Macaca mulatta: one gene and its partner. The protein of the gene in region 1 interacts with the protein of each later gene in a pairwise test. Links are inferred from orthologs where the notes say so. Each region holds a gene or a part of one and is shown on either strand. Other genes may lie near its edges.

What was found.
Region 2: the proteins of SPA17 (region 1) and MYL6B interact in binary tests that used the Homo sapiens proteins (3 or more experiments, as listed by UniProt). The two-hybrid records come from large-scale screens. The link is inferred for Macaca mulatta from reciprocal best matches to the Homo sapiens genes SPA17 and MYL6B.

Annotation. Positions count from the first base shown.
Region 1 is NC_133419.1:125,100,345-125,102,938, reverse strand, and holds the end of SPA17 (sperm surface protein Sp17), read right to left. Parts: intron 749-2,594; coding exon 605-748; downstream 1-604. UniProt on the Homo sapiens protein: Sperm surface zona pellucida binding protein. Helps to bind spermatozoa to the zona pellucida with high affinity. Might function in binding zona pellucida and carbohydrates.
Region 2 is NC_133416.1:63,303,941-63,308,133, reverse strand, and holds the start of MYL6B (myosin light chain 6B), read right to left. Parts: upstream 2,825-4,193; 5' UTR 2,780-2,824; intron 1,559-2,779; 5' UTR 1,492-1,558; coding exon 1,315-1,491; intron 597-1,314; coding exon 569-596; intron 354-568; coding exon 210-353; intron 1-209. UniProt on the Homo sapiens protein: Regulatory light chain of myosin. Does not bind calcium.

The DNA of each region.
Region 1 (2,594 bases):
CTGCAACCTCCACTTCCCAGGTTCAAGCAATTCTCCTGCCTCAGCCTCCCAAGTAGCTGGGATTACAGGTGTGCGCCACCATGCCTGGCAAATTTTTGTATTTTTAGTAGACATGGGGTTTCACCATGTGGGCCAGGCTGAAGGAGGCAGATTTTTGTTCCAGCTTATCTTTCTAAAAATTCCAAAAGAAAATAGACTATCATTAAGAAGCAGTGAAATTTTTTATCACTAGGAGTGAAACAGGAGCTAAAGAACATTTTTGGGGGATGTGATAGAGAGGATTTATTCATTTGATAATGGTTAAAACACATAACCTCTGAGATCTCTGTAATCTCAGATGCTTTTGTTCTGTAATTCTAAATCCAAGGGTCTCTATAGATAGGCTTGAGACAAGTGTAAACAAACTCATGATCTCAGAGAAATCTTCAAGTGGCATGTTTCAATGGTATGCTTATTAAACAAATGCTCATGACAGATTTTCACAACAGCAACGAATGTTATTTCACAACATCAAATCTTCCTTCCTCAGGAAAAAATGACATTAACAAGAAGGTTGATGGATTTGGATTATTTTTCATGTGTCCTGGAGGTAAAACCAGTGTCCTCACTTGTTTTCCTCTTTTTCCTCATTTTGAAGACTATCTGTTTTCATTTTCTTTACCTCCTCTCTGGCTACGTGTCCCCGGAAGGCAGCTTGGATTTTGACAGCAGCAACCTCTTCTTTTTCCTTATCTTCCTCAGAAGAGTCCTTCATCGAAAGGAGAAAAAGTAAGAGACTCTTTAAACATGCCGTATTTTTGATGCCATAAAAATAATGCAACAAATTTAATCAATTTAGGGATGCAACTATCTGAGAGTTGTTGCTTCCTGAGGGAATTTCATATATTGTCACATTGTATATGTACCAAATAGCAAATGCCAAAATAGCAGACATTTTGTTCGCCTGAGACACAAAAAGGAACTCGGAAGTTTGAACTTCGACATTGTAGAGAGTGAGTTCTTCTTTCTATGAGGACTAGTCCACAAGAGTCTGGAGTATGAAGAATACAGATAGATATTAGAAGACATATCTTTTAATATGTCTCTGCAACGAAAGATCATTGCCAACTTTCTTTCCCCCAAAATAGTGTCTATTTAAGTTTCCTGAGCAATAACATTTTTTGGGGGGTTTGGGGGGACAAGAAAGAATCTTTGAGGCATAGTAAAAATGTTAAGGAGAAAGAATAGTAAATGTTATGTTTCAAAATAATCACAATGATATATAATGAATTAGAATAACTTCTCAATTTCTCAATGATTAGCTAATCATAGTCATACATTTAAAGTGAGGTGCCAAAGAGAAATCCATTTAGTCCAATAATGTCAGTTTTAACATGGTTGGTTGAACTATGGCACATACCCTCTTTTAAAAAAAATTGGGTATAAATTTTTAGCTCTAAATTTACAGACAGTAAAATGCATGAATCTTCAGAGTACAATTGAATATATAGCTTTTAATATATCTTTTAAAATTATAGAAATGACATGTATACACTTTAAAAAACTCAAATGTCACTGGCAGTGATAATTTTCTCCCTCTATCCAAATCCTGCTCCTGGGAGATACCCATTATTATGAGTTGAGTATCTACATCCTTCCAAAATTTCTCTATATGCAAATATATTCATATGGGTATATATATATATGTGCCTTTTTATTTTAAAAATGAGATCATGCTAATCACAGAGTTCTGCAGCTACTTTTTCCATGTAACGATATATCTTGGTTCTCTTTTTCTGTGTTATTAGTCAGTGTATAACTCTACTCATTCTTTTTTTATGACATCATTATATTATACTGATGTACTTTTATTTAATATTTACTCAATCTCATATTAATGGACCTTTGGGTTGCTCAAGCCTCCTATCCCCCCATTATAAACAATGAGACAAATCTAGCTCTTAAACTTTTAAATGCAAACAGAATGGTACAAAATTCTTTGAGACGACATCCTAATATAGGCAAACAAATACACTCAAGTTTGAAATCAATGAGATCCCTACTCAAACTCAAACTCATGAAAACCTGTGTAAGAGCACCTATGAAAGATGTAAGGAAATAAAACTCCCTTCTTGCTTGACTTCCTGTTACATCTTAATGTTAATCTTCCTGTTATATCTTAATGTTATTTCAGTACAACCTAATAGTAAATAAATAAAATCCATTTAGTCCAATAATGTCAGTTTTAACATGGTTGGTTGAACTTTGGCACATACCCTCTTTTAAAAAAAATTGGTTATAAGTTTGTAGCTATAAATTTACAGACAGTAAAATGCATGAATCTTCAGAGTACAATTGAATATAATTGAATACAATGGAAATTGAATATAATTGAATATAACAGAAAACAATACAATTGAATAACCTGTACATCTTTTTTTTTTTCTTTTTTGAAACTGAGTCTTGCTCTGTCGCCCAGGCTGGAGCGCAGTGGCCTGATCTCAGCTCACTGCAAGCTCCGCCTCCTGGGTTTATGCCATTCTCCTGCCTCAGCCTCCTGAGTAGCTGGGACTACAGGTGCCCGCCGCCTCGCCTGGCTAGTTTTTTGTATTTTT
Region 2 (4,193 bases), on another chromosome or scaffold:
TGGAGAGAGATGAAGGAGAGGTCACTGTAGTATCACATAGGACCCGGCTCCCAACCCTACCACAATGCTTTCATCCTGTTCAGCATTTAGGATATTTTCCTGCTTCTGTGTTTGACAGTTTTTGAAGTCCTGAGATCCACCTCATTCTTTGTTACCAACATTCAACTTTTGAAAACTAAAAACCCAAATTGTTCCAAGGGTCCCCTCACCATCACTCTTGGGGTTCCCCAGGACCTTGAGCACCTCGGCGTTGGTGGGGTTCTGGCCCAGGGCCCTCATCACGTCCCCACACTGGCTGTACAGGATCTTGCCATCCCCTACTCGGTCAAACAGCTCGAAGGCCTCCTTGAACTCTAAGGTATAAGGAAGGGTCAGTGTAGACACTGACTAGGGGTTCCCATCACCCCCAGACAGAAGGGAATTTCAGAAACTATGTGAACAGAACAAGGGAGGAAAAGAGGACTAGTATGGGAGGTTTCAAGGTCGGGACTGGGGTTAGGGGAATAGAAAGAGAATCTGACCAGGGGATTGGGGACTGGACAGTGGGCTTAGACCAGCTTCTCCTCACCCTCCAGCTGGTCCTTGTTAAACTCGATCTGTGGAAGAAAAAAGCAGGTGGGGAGAGATGACAGTTTATTCAGTCCCTCTCCAGCACTCTTCCCAACCAACTGGCAGCCACTTCTGAGGAGGGGCCCAAAGGGACCAGGCTGGAAGCCCAGCCACCTCAGTCCCATTCCCAGCTCTGGGCCTTGGGAGAATCCCAAGAAGAGGAATTACAGTGGGGAGGGTTTCCTGGGAACAGGGTTAATCCCATGCCACCTGTTTCCCTCCCTCCATTGCCCTGAGCCCTGCATCCCTCACATAACTGGGGGCTGAACAAAGGCTAAATTTACCCCTGGCCCCCAGCTGTGATTGTCTAACAAGTCTGTCCTCTTCAGCCTCCCTTCCTGGAGTTCAGAGCTGCAGGCCTTTTGAGTTGAATCACCAGCCAGGGGCAGGCAACAGCTCTTTTCCCTTCACCTTGAAACTGTCCTCAGAACCCAGATGTTCCCCATCTAAGAGTCCCTGCCTCCAGCAGGGGGTAAGTGAGTGTGCATGTGCTGTACACACATGGTTATAGGTTAGAGGGAGAGAACAGCAAAGACAACAGCAGAGTCATAAGCCTGGATGCTTCCAAATGGGGGACTAAGGGAAAGCCCCAATCTCATTCCAGGGTTCATTGATTCCCTACCTTCTAGATACCCCCTAATCCCCTAAGCTGTATCTCACCCTCAAACCACCCCCTCCAATTATCTTCACTTTCCAGAGACTCACCACCACTTTGGAGAGATCGATTGGAGGCTCCTGGGTTTTCTGAGGGGCCTGGGGGACAGCTGGCTCAGCTTTGCTCTTGGCTGGAGGAGCCCCTGCTGCTGCTGCTGGCTTAGCAGCAGGTTTGGAGATGGAGGGCCCTGCTGGTTTCTTCACGGGAACATCCTTCTTGGGAGGCATGATGTCCGGTGGCCAAAGGACAGTGTGCGGATGGGGGCACCCATCTCTGTTTAAATAGCCAGGGAGTCTGGGATGTCAAGGGGCGGGGGCAGGGGCAGGGAGCCAGTTGGCTGTGGCGAGGATGAGGTAGAGGAGAGATATAACCGTCTGCCCTCACTCCCCTGGCCTCCTATGGTTCAGGACTCCTGCCCCAAGGTCTTCTTCCCTCTGTCCCCTCATCCCCAAAGGCTGTCCAGAAAAGAACAATGTTTCCTTTGAGGGTAGGGGAGGAAGCCAGGGACTGCCCAGAATGAGAGGTAGTTAACCTCCAGGGTGAGGATAGGATGCTTGCACTGAGATGGGGGTGGTGAGGCAAAGCAGGTGATCCAGCAGCTTTAGTCTTCTCGAAGGGTGGGGTGAGGGGTAGCAGTCAGGGAGGCTTGTGTGAACTGGAACAAGTTAAAGTGTGGTCTGGGAGCAATGACAAAAACAAGCAGCCCATCTGCCCAGCCCCTCCACTCCTTTCTGACCATGGCTTTGTAAAGAGCAGGGGTAGTTAACCCTACAGTCTAATAATCCCTAATACTTGTAGTTCCTGAGCCCGCACCCAGCCAAGAATTGAAACTATTCACAGTATAAAGGAAGAATAGTCATAGAAACAGGAGTGTGACATCCCTCATTGTCTCCTAGTGCGCAGTGTTGTTTTAGGGGAAGGAGTGGGGGCAAAGATCAGGTTTAACATCTGCTACCCATTCTTCCATGGAAGGAACCTTCTTCCACAAGACCACTGTCATTCAACACAAACAAAAGGTAGGGCGCTTGCTGAACCTGTGGGGACCCTGTGGTGGCACCCGAGAAGGGCGGGCTCTGGGAGAAGGCTTAAATTCCCTAATCCAAGAGGATGTGGGCACTCCTATGGCCTCCATGAGTATTCATCCCACTACCAGGGGTATAATAAAAATCCCGACTCAGGGGCCAGGTCACAAACCTTGCCGGGGGCACTGGGAGAGAGTCCAAGTTGGGGGGTGTTTGGGAGTGGGGAGGGGTTGCGGCCTACTTTTGTTCTGGGGGAAATTAGGAAAGGATTTAGGTAGCATTCTGAGGAAGATAGCAGTGACTCCACTTAGGCCCCGGGGTTGATGCTGGGTCTCCCATTCGCAAAACAGTGTCTGAATCTCATTACTGCAAACTGTCCCATTTTTACAAAATACATCACACACAGACACACACACACACACACACACACACACTCTCACACACCCCACTAAACCTTAAAGAAAGCGGCTCTCCTCAGCCCCCCAAAACTCACCCTGCGGGGTCCGCGTCTGTGGCTGGGGAGGGGGCGGTGCACAGCGCGGCCCCCCAGCCCTGAAGGGTTAATTCCGACGGCCGCGGAGCATGCCGGGAGTCGTAGTCCCCAGTGGGCTCACGGGATACGCCGCGCTCTAGATTGCAGCTGAGGCTAGGGCGGTGGCTTCCGGCCCATGGCGGCGTTTGGTGACTCAGTGTCCTTCCATGTCCCGGAACTGAAAGGCAATGAACAATTTCCAATCCACCCCAACCCTAAAACCCTGCAGGGTCCCTAGGGTATCCCTCCTACTTAGCCCTGGCGGGCTCCTAGTCTCGGGAGGCGGTGGGGGGGGGGGCGGTGGGGAGCGGGGCAGGTGTTTTCCTGGACCTACTGCTGAAAGAACTCCGAACCAGGGGAAAGGTTGAGGCTGCAGCAGGCAGCGTGGAGGTCAGATAGCTGGAAGCACTTACGGCCCCAGGGAGAGCGGCTGCGCTCTTTTTCGCTTCCTCTTGGGTTTGGTGGGAAAAAAAGAGGCCTCAGAGTAGTTTGTTTTTAATGAACTGGTTGCTGAAGTAAATGTTAAAATTTGCAATTAAGCCCAGTCACCTGCCCCAGCCTTCTGATCGAGGTTTCCATCCTGCGGCCGCATATGCGCTATCCTCCCCGGTCTTCATAGGTTCCTGAGCGGAGGGCTGGGCTTTCCAGACCTACTTTCTGAGACACTTATGGTCAGCATTGGAGTTTACTGGTTCCCCTAGGCGTTGATCAGAGGATGGGAACCAGCCCGGCCGGGCCCACCTTCATTCACTGGATCAGTAAATACACTGGCGGTGCACCTGGTGTTGGAGGCTGGGGCTGCACTGGCGTGTGAGGATTCGGTCAGAGCAGAAAACTCGGGCGAGGGCAGGGTGGTGAGGCACAGGTGAACTTTATGGGCAGTAAGTAAGGTTCACTGGTTCGGGAAAGTTTATTGGAAAGGTAGAAATGAATTGTACGACAGAAATAACGATGATAGTAAGTTAGCAACCATTTCTGGAGGCCACCATAGATCTGCTACCGATGAAGGGGTTAAATTATCTCAGAGGGTGCTCAAGTGCATGGGGTTCAGACGAGCCTGCTCATATTTGAATCCTGGTTCTACCAGGTGCTGGTTAGTGGCCCTCAGCAGGTTTAGTTGTCTCTCCTGGGCCTCAGTTCCTCATCTGTAAAATAATGATAATGGTACCTGCCTCATAGGGCTCTTAGGAGGATTCGAAGTGTTATTATTGGTAAAATAGGGCCGGGCTTGGTGGCTCACGCCTGTAGTCCCAGCACTTTGGGAGGTGAGGCAGGCTGGTCACCTGAGGTCAGGAGTTCGAGACCAGCCTGGCCAACATGGTGAAACCCTGTCACTACTAAAAATACAAAAAAACCAAAAAAATAGCCGGGCGAG